Linked DNA regions of Diceros bicornis minor. The protein of the gene in region 1 interacts with the protein of each later gene in a biochemical or structural test. Links are inferred from orthologs where the notes say so. Each region holds a gene or a part of one and is shown in the gene's direction. Other genes may lie near its edges.

The links. The genes of interacting proteins can lie anywhere in the genome.
Region 2: the proteins of HIP1 (region 1) and CLTB form a complex in vitro, tested with the Homo sapiens proteins (2 studies listed by BioGRID, with this or other methods). The link is inferred for Diceros bicornis minor from reciprocal best matches to the Homo sapiens genes HIP1 and CLTB.

Annotation. Positions count from the first base shown.
Region 1 is NC_080765.1:3,063,189-3,073,646, reverse strand, and holds the start of HIP1 (huntingtin-interacting protein 1), read left to right. Parts: upstream 1-6,610; 5' UTR 6,611-6,645; coding exon 6,646-6,765; intron 6,766-10,458. UniProt on the Homo sapiens protein: Plays a role in clathrin-mediated endocytosis and trafficking. Involved in regulating AMPA receptor trafficking in the central nervous system in an NMDA-dependent manner. Regulates presynaptic nerve terminal activity.
Region 2 is NC_080740.1:89,660,312-89,670,736, reverse strand, and holds the start of CLTB (clathrin light chain B), read left to right. Parts: upstream 1-6,094; 5' UTR 6,095-6,231; coding exon 6,232-6,418; intron 6,419-10,425. UniProt on the Homo sapiens protein: Clathrin is the major protein of the polyhedral coat of coated pits and vesicles.

The DNA of each region.
Region 1 (10,458 bases):
GTAAAGGCACAAGTATGTGGAGACTAAACAACATGCTACTGAACAGCCATTCAATCAATGAAGAAATCAAGAGAGAAATTAAAAAATACCTGGAGACAAACGAAAATGAAAACACAACATACCAACTCTTATGGGATGCAGTGAAAGCAGTGTTAAGAGGGAAATTTATAGCAATACAGGCCTACCTCAACAAACAAGAAAAATCTCAAATAAGTAATCTTAAACTATACCTAACAGAACTAGAAAAAGAAGAACAAAAAAGCCCAAAGTCAGCAGAAGGAGGGAAATAATAAAAATTAGAGCAGAAATAAATTAAATAGAGACTTAAAAAACAATAAAAAGGATCAATGAAACTAAGAGCTGGTTCCTGGATAAGATAAACAAAATTGACAAATCTTTAGCCAGACTTACAAAGAAAAAAAGAGAGGAAGTGCAAATAAATAAAATTAAAATGAAAGAGAAGAAATTACAATGGATACCACAGAAATATAAGAGATTATAAGAGAATATGAAAAACCATATGCCAACAAATTGGATAATCTAGAAGAAATAGATAAATTCTTAGACTCATACAACCTCCCAGAACTGAATTAAAAAGAAATAGAGGGGCCGGCCCGGTGGCGCAAGCGGTTAAGTGCGCGCACTCCGCTGCGGCGGCCCGGGGTTCGCTGGTTCGGATCCCGGGCGCGCACCGACGCACTGCTTGGTAAGCCATGCTGTGGCGGCGTCCCATATAAAGTGGAGGAAGATGGGCACAGATGTTAGCCCAGGGCCGTCTTCCTCAGCAAAAAAAAAGAGGAGGATTGGCAGATGTTAGCTCAGGGCTGATCTCCGCACAAAAAAAAAAAAATTAAAATTAGTTGCGGGGCCGGCCCGGTGGCGCAAGCGGTTAAGTGCGCGCGCTCCGCTGCGGCGGCCCGGGGTTCGCTGGTTCGGATCCCGGGCGTGCACCGACGCACTGCTTGGTAAGCCATGCTGTGGCGGCGTCCCATATAAAGTGGAGGAAGATAGGCACCGATGTTAGCCCAGGGCCGTCTTCCTCAGCAAACAAAGAGGAGAATTGGCGGATGTTAGCTCAGGGCTGATCTCCTCACAAAAAAAAAAAAAAATTTAAAAAAAAAAAAAAAAAAAAAGAAATAGAGATTCTGAATAGACCAATCACAAGTAAAGAGATAGAAACAGTAAAAACCCTCCGAAAAACAAAAGTTCAGGACCAGATGGCTTCTCTGGAGAATTCTACCAAACATTCAAAGAAGATTTAATACCTATCCTTCTCAAACTATTCCAAAAAATTGAAGAAGACAGAATGCTTCCTAACTCATTCTATTCGGCCAACATTACTCTGATACCAAAACCAGACAAGGACAACACAAAGAAGGAAAATTACAGGCCAATATCATTGATGAACATAGATGCAAAAATCCTCAACAAAATATTGACAAATCGAATACAGCAACACATTAAAAGGATCATATACCATGATCAAGTGGATTTATACCAGGGATGAAGGGATGGTTCAACATCCACAAATCAATCAATGTGATACACCACATTAACAAAACAAGGAATAAAAACCATATGATCATCTCAATAGATGCAGAGAAAGCATCTGACAAGATCCAATATCCATTTATGATAAAAACTGTCAATAAAATGGGACTAGAAGGAAAGTACCTCAACACAATAAAGGCCATATATGACAAACCCACAGCCAACATCATACTCAATGGGGAAAAACTGAAAGCCATCCCTCTGAGAACAGGAACAAGACAAGGGTGCCTACTCTCACCACTCTTATTCAACGTAGTACTGGACGTTTTGGCCAGAGCAATTACGCAAGAAAAAGAAATAAAAGGAATGCAAATTGGAAAGGAAGAAGTGAAACTCTCACTGTTTGCAGATAGCATGTTTCTATACATAGAAAACCCTAAAGAATCCACCAGAAAACTATTAGAAATAAGCAACAACTATAGCAAAGTTGCAGGGTACAAAATCAGCCTACAAAAATAAGTTGCACTTCTATACACTAATAATGAACTAGTAGAAAGAGAAGTTAAGAATACAATCCCTTTTACAATCACAACAAAAAGAATAAAATATCTATGAATAACTTTAATCAGGAAGGTGAAAGACCTATACATGATAACTATAAGACACTATTGAAAGAAATTGAAGAAGACATAAAGAAATGAAAAGATATTCCATGCTCATGGATTGGAAGAGTAAACATCATTAAAATGTCCGTATTACCTAAAGCAATCTACAAATTCAATGCAATCCCAGTCAGAATCCTAATGACATTCTTCACGTAAATAGAACAAAGCATCCTAAAATTTATATGGAACAACAAAAGATCCCAAATAGCCAAAGCAATCCTGAGAAAAAAGAACATAGCTGGAGGCATCACAATCCCTGACTTCAAATACTACAAAGCTATAGTAATCAAAACAGCATGGTACTGGCACAAAAACAGACACACAGATCAATGGAATAGAACTAAAACCACAAGTCTATGGACAGCTACTTTTCGACAAAGGAGTCAAGAACATACAATGGAGAAGGGAAAGTCTCTTCAATAAATGGTGTTGGGAAAACTGGACAGCCACATGCAAAAGAATGAAAGTAGACTATTACCTTACACCATACACAAAAATCAACTCAAAATGGATTAAAGACTTGAATGTAAGAGCTGAAACCATAAAACTTCTAGAAGAAAATGTAGGCAGTATACTCTTTGACATTGGTCTCAGCAGCATATTTTTGAAACCACATCTACTCAGGCAAGGGAAACAAAGGAAAAAATAAACAAATAGGACTACATCAGACTAAAAAGCTTCTGCAAGACAAAGGAAACCATGAACAAAATGAAAAGACAACCCACCAACTGGGAGAAAATATTTACAAATCATATATCCGACAAGGGGTTAATTTCCAAAATATATAAAGAACTCATACAACTCAACTACAACAACAACAAAACAACCTGATCAAAAAACGGGCAGAGGATATGAACAGACATTTTTCCAAAGAAGATACACAGATGGCCAATAGGCACGTGAAAAGATGTTCAACATCACTAATTATTAGGGAAATGCAAATCAAAACTACAATGAGATAACACCTCATACCCAACAGAATGGCTATAACTAACAAGACAAGAAATAACAAACATTGGAGAGGGTGTGGAGAAAAGAGAACCCTCATACACTGCTGGTGGGAATGCAAACTGGTGCTGCCACTATGGAAAACAGTATGGAGATTTCTCAAAAAGTTAAAAATAGAAATACCATATGATCCAGGTATCCCACTACTGGGTATTTATTCAAAGAACATGAAATCAACAATACAAAGAGATCCATGCAGCTCTATGTTCATTGCAGTGTTATTCACAACAGCCAAGATGTGGAAGCAACCCAAGTGCCTATCAACTGTTAAATGGATACAGAAGATGTGGTATATATATACAATGGAATACTACTCAGCCATAAAAAAAGACCAAACGGTCTCATTTGCAACAACATGGATGGACCATGAGGGTATTATGTTAAGTGAAATAAGCCAGGCAGAGAAAGACAAATACCATATGATTTCAATCATATGTGGAAGATAAACACATGGATAAAGAGAACAGATTAGTGGTTACCAGAGGGGAAGAGGGTAGGGTGGTGGGCAAAAGGGGTAAAGGGGCACACATGTATGGTGACAGATAAAAACTAGACTCTTGGTGGTGAGCACGATGCAGTCTATACAGAGACTGATATATAATAATGTACACCTGAAATTACACAATGTTATAAACCAATATGACCTCAATAGAATAATTTTAAAAAATGTATACCTGGCATAATCTAAATACAAGTCCTTTTTTGGATGAATGTTTTGGAAATATCTTTCCCAGTCTGTGCCTTCCTTTTCATTTTCATAGCATTCTTTCGAAGAGCAAAGAGAAGTCCTATTTATTGATTTTTCCCTCTTTTATACTTCATGCTTTGGGTGTTGTATTTGAGAAACCTTTCCCAAACCCAAGGTCACTAAGATTTTCTCTTATAAGTTTTATAGTATTAGTTTTTACACTTTGGTCTATGATCCATTTTCAGTTAGTTTTTGTATATGGTGTGAGGAAAAGATTGAGGTTCTTTTTTTTTTTTGGCACATGAATATCCAATTGTTCTAGCACCATTTGCTGAAAAGATTATCTTTCTTCCATTGCATTGCCTGCACCTTTGTGGAAAATCACTTGACTATATATCTGTGGGTCTGTCTCTGTGGGTTTCCCAGAGATCAGGATTCCACGTCTGAAAACCGGGCATCCTGAGAAGGCATAAGACAAATGGTCCCTAAATTGCTGGGAGAGATGTAAGAGCTGAAAGAAGCTAGCAGAGTCCTGTAGTTTACATCCTGGAGGAGGGTTTCTCTCAACCCTTGGCAAAGGGTTTTGCTGCTGCAGCAAGTGAGAAATCCTTATTTTTCTTTATTGCTGAGTTTCACAGAGGTAACTAGCTTGAGTCTTTCTCCACAGGGTGTCTCCAAACCACAAATTCCTGATTCCTACTGGGGTTTATTCTAATAAGGAGTAGGCTGATCCCTTAATCCCTGTTTAAAGGGCCCCTGTTTATTGCAGCTATAAACTCTGGGCAAAGGATCATAAATCACTCTTTAGTTGGGTCCAGAGCATGAGGTGGGGGCAGGACTAAGAATGGGCACACAGAGGTAATATTATGATGAACCCTGTCTGTTTTCCCTGTAGGTATAGTCCTGTGAGCTCCTGGGCTGGGAACTTCCAAGGGCTGCTCCAGATCCAGCCTCCACTCGGCTCTGTGCCTGGAAGGAGGGGTGGGGGTAGTACTAACGGATCGTCCTTGCCCTCCTTCCCCCTGGGTTCGGCCAATGGGAGGCACTAGTAGGAAATCAGAGGACGGGAGGGATAGAGAGAGATTGGGCTCTTCCAGTGACTGGGTTTCTACCTAAAGCCACGGCTCTTGTCGGGTGCCTCCTCTCCCAAGACTAGAGCTCGCACCTGGTTCCGGTAAGCGCCCTCCCCGTGTCCCTTCAGGGCTAGGGCTGGTAACAGCTTCCCACTGTTCTATCCCCGGGTGCTTCACCCTCCCTGGCTGATCCCCTTATTCCAGGTTACAATTTTGCACATAGTTCCTTTCTCAATTCAATTAGCCCTTCCAGGGTGCAATCCCTCCCCCGCTGCTGCTCCGACTCATACAACATCACAGCCCCTAAACACCCCGAAACGCGGCCCTCAGTTCCAGTAATGGTGAAACCAGTGTGCTTGCTATGCAAATGAAGTCTCAAGGCAATTTCCCCTCCATCACATTGCCACCCTTCAATCCTTCCTCTCCAGAAGTTCCGGCCCCACCGCTGCCTCCTCCCTCCGCCTATTTCCCTTTGTCTGGGCCTCCTCACAGAACCGCCCACAGGAGGAAACTTTCTCCTCTCCATTCCGGGGTAGGCCCTCTCGGTCTCTCACGTACTGCTGGAGTCTCCCCGAAGAGTCCCTCCCTGCCCTTTCGCCCCGCAATGCCGTCCACACAATGCCAGCCCGGCAAAGCGCAGGTCTGTGCAAAAGCCTGCAGTAGCTCCGTAGCGCCTGCAAAGGCCCGCCCCCTCTTTCACTTCTGTGTTGAATGTGTGAACTTTTATAAAAAGCTCTTAGTTTAAATATTTTTAATGCCTTTCTTTGAGTTTCAAAGCATTTTTTTAACATGAAAATTTAATGGAAAACGTCTAACTTTCTTCAGCATCTCCGCTAGGGATCACACTTCCCTCCAGCTGACATCTGAGCAGGATGGGAGGGGTAGCCCGGAGCCGTGGATAAACAAAGTATCCACAGGGGTTTCCACCAACGAACACGTTCTGGCCGGGTCAAGATGATGTAGGGTTTGGAAAGAAGATGCCAGGAGGTTCCCACTGACCCGGCCCAGCGCTCCCGGGTGTGTGAGGATTACAAAGCGGATGGACAGGGACTCAGCGCAGGGTCAGGCTGAGGGAGGAGGCAGGTGAGCTGGGTAGGGGGCCGCCACCCACGGCGCCAGGTCGGGCAGACGCTGGCCCTTCCTACGGGAGCCGGGCCTGGGCGCAGCGCTTCCCGGGGCTCCGGCCGCCGAGCCGGTCCATCCCGCCCTCTCTCGTCCCCGACCCGAAAAGCGTAGACAGGCCATTCCCGGGCGGGTCCGGGTCCCCCGCGGGAGGCCCGACTCCGCGGCCAGCGTGACCCTCGCGCACCGCGCCGGGACCTCGCAGCGCCCCCGGCAGCAGCAGCGCGTGGCTCGCGGGGAAGCGCCGGGCGCGGGCGGGCGCGGTGGCAGGGGCGGCGAGGGCAGGTCAGGGCAGCCCTAGGCCCCACCCCCGCAGGGGGCCGCGGACCGGTGATGGACAGGCCTCCGGGCCGGTCGCTGCGCGCCTCGCGGTCCCGAGGGCCCAGCCGGGCGGAGCGCGCCGCGGGGCGGGGCGGGGCGGGGCGGGGGCGGGGGCGTCTCTGGGAGGGGCGGGGCCTAGGGAGAGTAGCGGCGCTCCCAGCCAATGGGAGGCAGGGGCCGTCCCGTTAGCGCCGGATCCCAGCGGGTGGGGCGGGCCGGGCGGCTCCGTGGGGATCCCGGGGCGGCCGAGGGCCGCGACTCGGATCCGCGCGGCGACATGGACCGGATGGCCAGTTCCATGAAGCAGGTGCCCAACCCCCTGCCCAAGGTGCTGAGTCGGCGCGGGGCGGGCGCGGGGGTGGAGGCGGCCGAACGGGAGAGCTTCGAGCGGACTCAGGTGAGGACCGGGGGACCGCGGGGCTTGCACGGCTAGGGCACCCCGAGAGATGCAGCGTCCGGGAGGGGCTTTGAAGGGAGTAAGGGTCTTGCAGGCCCAAGGGAGGACGGGGCAGGGGGGCCGAGAGAGGGAGCCTCTGGCGCGCAGGTCGAGGCGATCCCGGGAAGGTCGGGGACCCGGGCATCCCAGCTGGTCTGGGGAAAAGGGCAGGGCGGCCCCGAGGAACGGCACGATCCGGGCGGCCCGGCCCAGGGTGGCTGGTCCCGGCGGCACAGGGCAGGTGAGAGGGGAAGGCACCGAAAAGGGACCGAATGGAAGGGGAAGCGTACTGGGGGGCCGCTCGGAGACGCAAGTGTGGCGGCGGAGAGTGGGGCGCTGGTTTGGGGATGTGAAGGATGGGGAGCCCTTTTCTCCCCTCGCGATCGCTTCTCGGTTGCACTGGCATCCCCCCACCCCGAGCACCGCCTTCCCGGTGCCTCTTGCTTGGCACACAGCATCCCAGCTGTCGGCCTCCCCGGGCCGGGCCAAAGGGGTCTGAGCGGTGAGAAGGAATGTAGGAATGCGAAGTGTGGACGAGCTTGGAAAATGACTGGGGACTGGAGGAGGGGGCCGGCCAGGGGCAGGAATTGACGCGCTTGGCCCCACCGTCCGCCACTGGTCAGGACGGGCTGCCCAGAGGTGCCGGGAGCCCCAACTTGGGGTTTTGGTTTCATCCCCCAAGATATGCCTGACGGCTAATAGGCAGACTGCCCTGTTTGTCCAGCCAGGGCTGGGGGCCAAAATTCCTCAGTGTCATCAACAAAAAGCCACAATCCATTTTTACCTCAGAGTTTTAATGCCTGGTGTATTGATTTGACTGAATAAAGCTGACATGTTTCTGGTGTTCATCAGCTCTTTGTATGCAAAGTTCATTTTAAATGGCATAGCACTTCTCTTAATTCTAGTGCCCAGGTCATGGGGGCAGGCTCGTTCTCTGCTCTCGCTCTCAGAGTGGGACCTTTGGAGACCCTGCTGGGCCACCACTGCCAGCGCTGGTTCCCCTGCTGCGTTCTCCTTCTTCCCCCAAACACAGTACCACGTGAGGGAAGGGCTTTGGGGTTTTGGATAGGAAAGACTGTGAGGACCCGAGTGTTCTAAATATGGAGCTTACGGAGGATAAAGCTTTTCACCCCCAGGGAACTTCATCCTCTTCTTTCCAGGTGCCTGTGGCCCATCTGGTTACAAGGGTGTCTGGGTGATGTAAAGTGGGGAGTGTTCTCTCCCTGGATCATCCTACTCCAGGCAGGATGGGAGAGATGGCCTTTCACTTCTGCCTCCCAGGGTCCAGCTGGGTTTGAGGCTTATTCTCTGGCTTTGTGGCCTGGACCACTGAAAAGAAGGAAGCTTTCCTTCTGCCTGTCCACCACGGGTGTTACTGCCTCGACTAGCTGCCTGGTCACACGAGGCTTCTTGCTCCAGAAAACAGTGTGAATGTTCTTCTTTTTTTAATGGAAAAGAAAAATAAATAGGTGTTATTTTATAACCCATTCCTTCTAGAGTCTCAAATAAGTAAAAACTGGAGCAATAGAGAAATACACATAAAGCTTTGACCCATTGTAGTGATGGAAATTAGGTTTGTGACAGTTTCCACTCATGACTGGCATATCCCCTCACTATCCAGGGATAGCTGAACAAGGAGAGTCTAGGTCAGTGTTTTCCAGTGTTTTGCTTTCTGTGGGACACTTGTAATTGGCCAGATTTGATCTAGTGGCTTGTGTGTGGGGGGGGTGAGGAGGTAAACTGGATCAGGAAAAGACAGTGTTTCTATTGTTGACACTGTTAGAGGGTAGAAGAGTGAAGAAAAAGAAAAGAGAACCATCCTGAAACTTAGCTTTAGTCAACCTGCAAAAATTTAGTTTAATGACTATCTATCAAATGTATTATAAGATATAAAAATGAGTTAGAAAATTTTAATGAGGTAAGAGACCATGAGAGTCAGCCAAGGTAGAATGATAATTGTAACTAATTATTAGGTTTGGCACTGTTCTAATTACTTTATTGTTTTACCTTCTTTAATCTCCACAAGGACTGATGAGGTGGGTGTCAGCCACATTTTACTTTAAGAAACTAGAGGCACAGAGAGGTTAAGTGACTTGCCCAAGGTCACACAGCTGGAAGTGGTCCCAACCTTTAACCACTGTCTGTCTTGTGTTGCCTCTGAGTGTTGGGCAGAGCACTGGCATTGGAGTTGGAAGAGGTTGGTGAGTTTTACAGCTGGGCACGTGGATAGGCTGAGTAGCCTCAGGCAAATTGTCTAACCTTTTTTTTTTTTTATAATTTTATTTTATTTATGTTTTTCCCCCAAAGCCCCAGTAGATAGTTGTATGTCATAGTTGCACATCCTTCTAGTTGCTGTATGTGGGACGCGGCCTCAGCATGGCCGGAGAAGCGGTGCGTCGGTGCAGGCCCGGGAGCCCAACCCGGGCCGCCAGCAGCGGAGCGCATGCACTTACCCGCTAAGCCACAGGGGCCGGCCCTGTCTAACCTTTCTAAGCCTCAGTTTCCTTATTGTAAAATAAAGATAATACTCACCTGGCAGGTTTATTGTGGGAATTAAATAATAGACGTGAAGGCATTTTGTAAACTGTGGAGCACTATTTCAATGATGATTGCTGTAACGTGATTGGGGAGCTGAGACCTAAGAAGGCACAGGTGTGGGTAATCGTGCAGCCTCTGACTAACTCCAGTCAAGGGCCAGGAGTGTCCCTAGGTAACGGGATAATTACCAGGAGGTTGGAGCCCTCACCCCAGGACTGCGCCCCCCCCCCCTGAGGGCAACGTGTCTGGTTCTGGCGTGTGTGCCCCACACCTGAGGCTTGTGTTATGGGAACTGGCTGGTCGAGGGGAGGAAGTGACTGCTCAGTTCCATCCGGGAAGCCCTGGCCTGGGTGTCGCTCAGCCCTGGGCTACAGGGGACATCTGTCGTTACCTGACGTTTTCCCTAGTGGCCACATTCCCTCCCGATGCAGCCTTGTCTCCTGCACCCTGGGTCAGGAGCCCTGCCTGTGCCCTGCAAGGACTCGGATCTCTCTGCCTTCCTTCTGCTCAGGCCGGTGTCCCGGCTGCCTGTGCCCTCAGACCAGCTTGTCTCCTCACTCCTGCCAGTCTCTTCTGGGAAGCCTTCCCTCCTCAACAATCCTGGCATCATCCTCACACTTCACACGGCCCTTGTTCCAGCCAGAGTGGGGACCCCAGACCCGCCTACCACAAGCCCCATCTCCAACCAGACCCCTGGTGTGTCCCCTACCCTGCCCGTCACAAGCAACCTTCAGGCTCTAGGGAGATGAACAGTAGTTCTCGCCCTCAAAAAAGATGCTGTAATAATGACACCTTGCCTGGAGCACTTTACAGTTTATAAAGCCTGTTTGGCCATCATGGAGGCTGCATGGGGGCGGGGTATTTTTATGGATGAGAGCTGGTAACTTGTGCAGGACCACTGGTTGGTGAGTGGAAGGGTCGGGATTCAGATCTTGGGCCCCTGCCACCACACTGTCCTCATGTCGGCCAAGACGGCAATTCTGGAATGAACCAGGAGGGCTGCCACTTGCAAACAAAATCCCTGTCTGTATTTCCTTAGCTGGAAATGGTTTTTTCTGTGGTCTGTTTATTTTTTTGGCATTCATTTAGAGAGCATAGACCGTGGAGGGGACACAG
Region 2 (10,425 bases), on another chromosome or scaffold:
CTTCCTCGCAAAAAATAAATAAATAAAATGGACAAAAGATTTGAGCAGACACCTCGTAAGAGAGGATATGCAAATGGATAATAAGAACATGAAACAATTCTCAACATTATTAGTTATCAGGGAAGTACTAATTAAAACCATAATGAGATACCACTGCACACATAGGAAGGCTAAAATTTAAAAGACCAAGTGTTGGTGGGGATGTGGAGCAACAGGAACTGTCACATTTTACTGGTAGGAATGTAAAATGGTGCAACCACTTTGGAAAACACTTTGGCTGTTCCTTATAAAGTTAAACATACACTTTCCATACAACCCAGCAACTTCACTCCTAGATGTTTACCAAGAGAAAGGAAAACACGTCCATACAAAGATCGTATGTGAACTTGCACAATGGCTTTAGGCAACACAGCAAAAATTTGGAAATACTTCTAATGTCTATCAACCGGTGAAAAGATACACAATGTACGTTATATTCATATTACAGAATTCTACATAGCAATAAAACACTGATACATGCAACACCATGAATGAATTAACAAAAAGTAACCTGAGGAGACCGGCCCCCTGGCATAGTGGTTAAGTTTGCCACGCCTTGCTTGGTGGGCCTGGGCTCGCGGGTTCGGATCCCAGGTGTGAATCTACATCACTTGTCAGCCACACTGTGGCAATGACCCACGTATAAAGTGGAGGAAGATTGGCACAGATGTTAGCTCAGGGCTAATCTTGCTCAGCAAAAAAAAAAATAAATAAATAAATGTAAAAAGTAACCGATAGTAACAGAAAGTAGTGGTTGCGTGGGGCTGGGGGTTGTGTGCAGTAGGGGGAGCTGACTGAGAAGAGGCACAAGAGAACTTTTTAAGGTAATGGATATGTTTCATATCTTGAGTGTGCTGGTAGTTACACAGGTGTACACATTTGTCAAAACTCATGGAATTGTACACTTAAAAAGGGCATGCTTTACTGATGATAAATTTTACCTCATAAAGTTGATTTTTTCAAAAGGACTTAAGAGACACAAATAAACACAATGTGGAGACGTTGTTTAGATCCTGATTCTAACAAACCAACTGCAAAAAAAATTATAAGGCGTTCATGAAAATTTGAATCCTGACCGAATATTTACTGATACTGATATTGTTAAAAAATTTTACCTGTGATAATTATATAGTGGTTATATTAAAAGAAGGTAAGAAGTCCTATTTTTGTGAAGTATTTATGGATGAATTGATATAGTGTGTGGGATTTGCTTTAAAAGAATTAAAGCACAGGACAGTGGTGGGGTGCAGATGAAACAAGTTTGGCCAAATATTGATAACCATTGAAGCTGGGTGATGGGCACACTGGGGTATATTATATTATATTATATTATTGTAATTATAATTTCAGTATTGTATTATATATTATTAGATTAATTTTTTTATCTCTACATTTGTATGTGCTTGATATTGTCCATAACAAAAAAATTATTTTTTAAGAATTTAGAAGTCATATCAACCAAATGCAATGTGTTGACCTTATTTGAATCCTAAGTGAGCAAACCAACAATAAAAAGATATTTATGGGACAATTGGGGAAATTTGAATACTGACTAGATAATGGGTGACATTAAGGAATTTGGAGGAGAAACTTTTTTTGATGTTATGATAATTCTGTGGTTATGCAAAAAAGAAGTTGAAGATAAAAATGGAGGAGGAGAAGGAGAATAAGAAACACAGCCACAGCAATGACCACATCCGGCACACAGATCTTTCTTCGTTTTCCACTCAAAGGTAGAAATGGCTTATTCTTCAGCATGGGACATTTTGTTGTGCCAAAAAGTAAGACAGAGCTCAAAGACGATGCGGACATATCAAAAATACAGGAGCCAGCTTGAAAGGACTCCCACTGACCCTATCTTGGACAATTTGAGCACTAAAATAAATAATGATAGCAAAGCATTACAATCCATTGGATAAAATAAGAGTCCGTGAATCCATGCAGACAAACAAACAAACATTTTCCTTATATTAGAAGACCAACTAATAAATGTGTAAAGAATGATGGTATTAGAAAATTACCATTTGACAACCATCATTATAATACCTGAATCATGCAAAAATCAATAGATGCCATAATGAATGCATAGGTGAAAGTTTGAGGAGTGACATAAAATTAATGTAGTCTTAATGTACCTCTCCATAAGATATTTATTAATTAGAAAGGCGAAAAGTAGTAATTTAAACCTGACAGACACCACCTTTTTTTTTTAATTTTATTTATTTATTTATTTTTTCCCCCAAAGCCCCAGTAGACAGTTGTATGTCATAGCTGCACATCCTTCTAGTTGCTGTATATGGGACACGGCCTCAGCATGGCTGGAGAAGCGGTGCGTTGGTGTGCGCCCGGGATCCGAACCTGGGCCGCCAGCAGCAGAGCGTGCGCACTTAACCGCTAAGCCACGGGACGGGCCCTAATAGACACCACCTTAACCAAATGATCAACGTTAACATCATTAATAACAGGACAAATTGACATCATGTGCCTCCCAATATGATGCACTAAGAACTCAGCATCACATTTGTGCTATTCCTGCCTCAAGTGTGTGACCTGAATCCAACCGTGAGGAAACATAAGACAACTCAAACTGAAAGACGAGAAAACTGGCTAGTAATGTTCAAGACGTCGATGTCATGAAAGACAAAGAAGGAGAGGAACTGTTCCAGATTGAAGGAGATCAAACAGATATGATAACTGAATGCGATACACAATCTGGGATTTTATTTTCCTCTATTATTGCAATATTTGGTGAAATCTGAGTAAGTTATATAGATTAGATAATGATATTCAATCAATATTAATATCCTGATTTTGATAATTGTATAGTGGCTATCTAAATGAATGTCTTATTTTTAGGAAAGCACACAGTGAAATATTTAGGGATGAAAGGGCATCATATCTGCAACTTACTCTCCAACGGTTTAGGAAAAAGAGAGAAGAAGAAAGAATAAAGCCAATATGATGAAATGATATCATTTGAGGAACCTGGGTGAGAGGCATATGGCAATTATTTGCAATTTTCTGTAAGTCTGAAATTATGTCAAAATAAAAAGTTGAAAAGAAGTGAGGAAAAAAACCTTGAGAGTAAAATCAACCAACTCAATCCCTCCCCACCCCAAAAGAAAGGAGATTATTAGTGGGAATGTAAAATGGTGCAGCCACTATAGAAATCAGTATGGTGATTTTTCAAAAAATTAAAAATTGAATTACCATATGATCCAGCAATTCCATTCCTGGGTGTACATCTGAAAGAACTGAAAGCATGATCTCAAAGAGATATTTGCACTGTGCTAATAGCAGCATTATTCACAGTAGCTGAGATGTAGAAGCAAACCAAATGTCCATGGACGGATGAATGGATAAAGAGAATGTGGCATATATATCATAGAATGGGATATTATTCAGCCTTAAAGAGGAAGGAAATTCTGACACATGCTGCAACATCTATCAGAACATGGTGAACCTTGAGGACATTATGCTGAGTAAAATAAGTGAGTCACAAAAAGACAAATACTGTATGAATCCACTTATGTGTGGTATTTAAAGTAGTCATATTCATGTTAATAGAAAGTACACTGGGCCGGCCCCGTGGCTTAGTGGTTGAGTGGGAGCGCTCCGCTGCTGGCGGCCAGGGTTCGGATCCCGGGCGCGCACCGACGCACCGCTTCTTGGGCCATGCTGAGGCCGCGTCCCACATGCAGCAACTGGAAGGATGTGCAGCTATGACATACAACTATCTACTGGGGCTTTGGGGGGAAATAAATTAATTAATTAAATCTTTAAAAAAAAAAAAAAAAGAAAGTACACTGATGGTTGCCAGGAGCTTTGGGGAAGGGGAAATTAGGAGTTCTTTAATGGGTGTAAAATTTCTACTTTGCAAGATGAAAAAGTTCTGGACATCTGTTGCACAACAATGTGAATGTACTTAATCCTACTGAACTGTACACTTAAAAATGGTAAAGATGGTAAATTTTATGTTTTTTACCACAATTTTTTTAAAAAGCTCTTCAGTTTTAAAAAAGAGGTTAACAGTGAATTATTTACAGATGAAATTATATAATGTATGGGGAGGAATAAAGGCTATAGATGAAACAAGACTGACTATACATTGGTAATACTGAGGTTCAGGGGCTGGTACGTGGAGTTGCATTATATCATTCTTTCTATTCTTATATATGTTCGAGATTTTCCACTGAAAAAATTTCTCCACTTCAGACTTCATAAAATGAAATTTAGATTCTGTGAGATTGCCCCATATCTTTACTCAACTTTATTTATTGATGACTTTTGACCATTACTGAGTTTCACAATTAAATGAGAATTAGAAAACTAGAATCATGTGTAGAGATCTCCAAAGATTTTTAGAGAGCTGTCAAGAAACTGAGAATCTCCAACACAAAGAAGTGCTACGTGGTTCAAAATATAACTTTAATGATAATTTTTAATATTAATGCTTGAGAGTAAGAGTAATGTACAAGAGCAAGCATGGCTGCAGAATAGTCTGGACCAGTAAGTTGTATAAATTAAGCAGGGAGCTAAATTCTGCTGTTGCCTAAATTAGGAAGGAGCATGAAGAAAGGAGGAAGTAGTTGGGAAGAGTGTCTGGGGGATTTGCATGTGTACACGCGGTGCAGTGTTGCTTGAGTTACTGACCAAAGTCTCCAGGGGAATCAAACAAGAATGTCCCTTGTCGCTCGGAGGTCGCAATGAGCACATAGCATGTTCACTAGTCCTTCTGTCTCCACAAAACTAGCCACATTAACGCTGGTTTCTTGTACTAGGAAACTTTTTAGGTCTTTCTAGCACCCAAGCCTGTGGTTTCAGAAATGAGGAAGAGGTGTGAGATGATGGTGGAGCAGTGTGCCTGGACCAGGTTGTGCAGGGCCTTAAATTTCTTTCTTTATGTTTTCTGCTACTAATAAATTACTATATTGTCATCACAAGAGTGAAACCTACATCAAAGTACTACTGAGCAAAACTGAAATTTCCCTTCACTCCAACTCTCTACTTCCACTCCCCACGCCCTAAGGGAACCACTACCCTCAGCTTGGCATGCAGCTTTCTTTTCTTTCTTCCAGTTCATAGTTGACCTGCAAGCCTCAAATCAGAAAGAGAAAATCCTAAGTCCAGATCTGGTGGTAGTTCTGGGGTCTCCCGGTACCCTGTATTTACATGTCAGCATCTCACACGGGGAGCTGTGACTGGCCATTTGCCATCTGTTGGTCTCATAGATGGTAACCTCCTGGTGGCCAAGGCTGGGTTTTACTAAATTTTGTTGTCCTGAGCTTGGGGAGGCCAGGGCAGGGAGGGGGCGTTCACAGATTGTTTACTGAGGGCACTGGGTGGAGGAGGGGCAGGCTGCCTGGACAAATTTGGTCTGCCTTTCTCGGGCCGGTTCTTACTCAAGGCATATTTAAGGGGCCGGCCTCTAAGTAGGGGCCCAGTCAGGTCATACAAACTCTGGCGGCCTGAGCTGAAGCCTCCCCAGTGACAGAAACGCATCAAAAATGCACTAAAGCAACACGGCCTAGGGGGAATGGCCCTGGACTTGCAGGAAAGATGCAAGGAAGCCGTGGGACTTCGTGTTCCCTCTCCGAGCCTCGTCTTCCTCTTCCTACAGAGGAAGAAACTCCTAATAATGGGATTTATAATATCCGCCCAGCTTGGGTGAAGAAGCTTTTGCAGACTAAATCAGGAGCAAGGTCTCCGCAGCGACCAGCCCTCAGTGCGCCCGAGGCCGGGCTGCCCGCGCGCCGTGGCCCGGTGCCCATTCTGGCCACCTGGTCCAGCCCGCTTCCCTCTAGAGCGGCCGGAGCTGTCCCCGGCGCCGGTGCCCCGGGGTCGGGCGCCGCCGGCAGGGAGCGGGGAGCGCTGCGCGGCCTCCGCGCCCCTCGGGCTGGGCCGCCGGCCTGCTGCCGCCCTCCTGTGGCCGCCGCGAGCGACCTCCGGCCGGCCTGCGGGCCCCTCCCTCGGCCGGTGACATCACCGCATTCCCGTCCCGGCTCCTCCCGCCGGCAGCCGCAGTGACAGGCGAGCCGGGCCGGTGGCGGAGAGGCAGTGCGGGCCGCCGCGCCGAGCCCGTCCCCGCGAGGCCGGCTCCCCGGGCGGCTCGGGTGACAGTGTCGCGGCCGCCGGGCACGCGCCGGGCAGAGCCGAGCGCCAGGCGCACGCCTCGGCAGAGACGCGGGGAAAATGGCTGATGACTTTGGCTTCTTCTCGTCGTCGGAGAGCGGGGCCCCCGAGGCGGCCGAGGAGGACCCGGCGGCCGCCTTCCTGGCCCAGCAGGAGAGCGAGATCGCGGGCATAGAGAATGACGAGGGCTTCGGGGCTCCCGCCGGCGGCCAGGCGGCCCTCGCGCAGCCGGGACCAGCGAGCGGGGGTGAGTCAGCGCGGCGGCCCGGAACGGGGGCCTGGGGCTCGCACCGCGGGGACCTGCCAGCGCAGCCCGGGCCTCGGGGCCCGCGCTCGAGTGAAGAGGGCCTGCTGTCCACCGGCCAGGAGCAGGCCTGGGGCTGTGTGTGTACACGAGGGGACCTGGGGGAAGTGGGGAGGAATCCTCTTGGAGATCCCCATTTGAGGCGGCGCCTGGGACTGTGGATCTGGCGGCTCCCGGAACAGGAATTCATCATGACATTTCATCCCCAGGCCAGCTCCACCACCGCCTGGCTCTGGAATCCAGCCCAGCCCAGCCCTGAGAGTCTGTCCTGAGCCTCGAGTTGTCCGGCTGTCCCAGGCTCCTGGCTAAGCCATGCAGATGTGGGCACAAATGCAGACCTCCTGGCCCCTCAGGCTTAGCTCCCTGCTACAGCTGGGAAAGCAGGGGTCACTGGGTGCTCCAAGAACTCACAGACCTTTCCTGGGGACCACCTGCCATCCTGCAGCCACTGGGCCAGGCACTTTACCTACTTTTAATCATTTCATACGCCTTATTGAACCCATTTCAGAGATGGAAATGTTAAGGCTCAAAAGGTACACCATTGAAACAACTAGTAAGTGGCAGAGGAGGGATTTAAACCTGTTTCTGGCAGACTCTAAGCCCTCTCCACCTGACCACACTGCCTTCCACCTGCCTGGCTCAGAGTTCACAGCCAGAGTGGGGGCAAGGCCACAAAGAGCTTCAGTCAGATGTGGTCCTGTCCTCCTTGGGGCTTGAAACCGTCCGTTAATGGTTTCCCAAAGGTGGTCCAGAGCTATCGTGGTTGGCTTCAGACTCAGGGTTCAGGGTCTGATCTCTGCGACAGCATGTTTATCAGTGATGTTCCTGCTCTGGTTCTGCCTTGAAAGAACAATTTCTTAAAATGTTTAGTAAAAAAAGGAGAAATCACCTTCATGGGTGCATCCACAACAGCCCTTGCTTCCTGCTAATGTTGTCATTTTGCTGGGGGCTTATAAGCCTGTTGGAATAAGTGGTAGCTCATGTATTTTAAAAAAGATACTTATAAATAAGGCTCCTTATAGTCATGTTTGTATGCATTCAACTTTAACTGAACACCTACTGTGCGCCAGGCCCACTGGGGATACAGAAATGAATAAGACAGTTCTTATGGCTTGAGGAGTTTGAAGCATCTCTGTATCGCCTTGATATGAGAAATGTAACAAGTCTTTTGTAACATATAAGGAACTGGAGGCCCAGAGAACCTGAATATCTTGCCCAAAGTCACACAGCCATGAGAGACAGATCTGGGACTTGATCCCAGACCTCCCAACTCTGGGCTCCATGCTCTTTCAAATGCTGTGGCAGTCACGCTGGGAGGTGATGGGATGTTGGGGTGATGGGGGGGGGTCTCTTGCTACCCAGCCAAGCCAGCAGTGGAGGTCTTCTGAAGCAGCAGCTCTGGCCCCTCAGCACAGACCCTCACGCATCCCAGGGAATTCCTAGGAAATGCCTGCACATGTTCATGCACCAGTATTAATTTGTCCACACCTCCTCCTTGAGACGACCATCTTCCCCAGTCCGGGTGGCCAGGGGGAGGCCCTGCTGAGAAAAGCCCATGTCAGAACCCCCTGAGAGAGAAGGGTGGGTAGAACGCAGATGAGAACGCAGAAGTGTCTGGGAGTTGAGCAGGTTGTGGCCTCTCCCAGGACAGTGGGGCTCCTGGGGCTTACAGCCTGGATGCAAGTTTCCTTCTCTGGCAGGGATTGGGCACAGATTGGCCCCAGACCTGAGGTGGCCGGAAGAGAAGCAGGGTCTCCCAGACCCACACCCACCGAAGCTGCACGTGCTCGGCTGCCCTTCTAAGTGGGGCGTGGGGAGCAGGGCGGTCCTGCGGGAGGGCAGCTCAACTGGTGGCCACACAGGATGGAATTGACCTGACCCTCCTAGGCCTAGATGGTCCTGAGCAAGTATCCACTTGACCAGCTGTGAGTGCCCGAAGCCCGATGGGAGGAGAAAAGCACCTAGGCCTGCTGGGAGCTGGGCGGGAGCTGTTTCTGCTGCTGCTGCCAATCAACACCTCTGAGTCTGTCTCTAAGATGAAGCCCCTGTGCTGAGAGCCCTGGCACTTGGCCCCCAGGTACTCCTGGGGAGAGAGGTGTCTGGTGTAGGCCTGAGCCTGAGCCACACTGAGTCTCTCTGGGGGCTGGATCTGTGGCCAGCCCGAGCAACGGACACTTTGTTTCCATTCATCAGCCTTGGGTAGGGCCCAGAAAGTTTACATTTTCACACCCAGATTGCTGAGCGCTTGGCCTGGCTCTGCCCCTGACTTGCCCAGTCAGTTCCTGGCAAGCCCATTTCCCCTGCTGGGCCTCGGTAAGCTCCCAGGAATGTTCTGGACCTTACCTGCCCCTGTTCCAAAAGGGGTCAGGAATCTGAGGGAAGCAACACCCCCGGAGTTATCCCTGGGACTCGTGTCTGCTGTGTGCTTGTTCTGCCAGCCTCTGACTGTGGACACACGATTATAGCTGTGCAGTAGCCTAATCGGAGAGCATTGTGGGGACAGAGCCTCAGGATTCTGTGTGGGGGTGTGTGTGTATCGTCAAAGGGGCTGAGACTTCATCCCCAAAGGAACACTCACGAGGCTGAGAGACAGGGGCAGAGAGTCTTTCCAAAGGCCAGAGTGGGCACTGGGCAGCTGCCTGCGGACAAGGGGCCTGAGACTGGGACTGGTCAGGGTGGAGTGGGGTGGTGCAACTTCTGCTCCAGAAAGGCTCCGCGTACAGACCAGCGTCATTGTGAATGGGCCCTGGTAGAGGAGATGCCCCAGGAGAAGAAGCCCCTTTGCAGAAGATGCTGCCGCTGAAACCGCATGAGCCTCACCCTAGCTTAGGGACCAGGCCCCCTATGTAGGAGAAGCCCTATCTGAGTGAGTAGGGATGACAGCTGACATGGTTGGTCAGAATCTATCGCTGTTTGACTCTGAAAACAAAGTCGATTGTGATTTATATCGACCTGGGATTATTTCCATGTGATGAAGCATCTCTCCCTTCAGTCCCCAGGCTGAAAGCACTGTCACTGCTGCTCACAGCTTTATCTGGCTGGTAATGGCTGTCCATCTGTGGTAGTCTCGTGTGGCCTCCTGCGGCTCTTTGCTAGAAGGCATTGCAGTTTTCAGAGCCCTTAGACAGGCCCTGCAGATAACAGTGGGTCCCCGAAGAGCAATGCAAGTTCCGTTTAGCCCATGCTTGCTGCTCACCCGTTCTGTGCAGGAGCCCTTAGGAACTGCATGAGATACAGGTTCTAGGAAGGCAGTGCATGACCCCTGCGAGGTCACGAGTGATTGCATAAGAGGGTGGGGAATGATATTGTGGGATACCCCAGACGTGAGACCTTCCATCAGCACCTAGGGAAGTAGGGGAAGTAGTGGAGGGCTTCCCAGAGGAGGTGATGTGTGGACTGGGCCTTGGAGAACAACTGGATCCAAAAGAGCATTCTGTAGAGAGGGGAGCAGGAAGAAAGGCGTGGGGTGCGGAGTGGTGTGTTTGGGGAAGGAGGAGACTAGAATTTAGGGTCTATGGGAGGGACTGGTGGGCCGCGAGGTGGAAAAATGGGCAGGGCCGGGTTGTAAAGGTCCTCCTGTGCTGTGCTCCGGAGTTTGATGTACTCAGTTGGCAAATACTCATTCAGTCCGTGTTCCGTGCCAGGCACTGTTCTAGGAGCTGGGCCCCAGCAGTGGACCAAACAGACACCCTGCCCTCAGGAAGGGTCCATTCAAGCCGGGGGGACGGATCATAAACACACACACGATGAACACATCAGGCTGTGGGAAGTTATATGGGGAAAACACAGCTGGGGGAGGAAGGGGTGCCGAGGGGAGAATGTCGGGGGGCTGGGAAGGCCTCTAATAAGGCAGCGTTTGAGCAGAGGCCGAAGGGAGTGCAGGAACAGCCCACGGGGAGACAGGTCGGACGGCCTTCCAGGCGGAGGGAACAGCACCTGCCAAGGCCCCG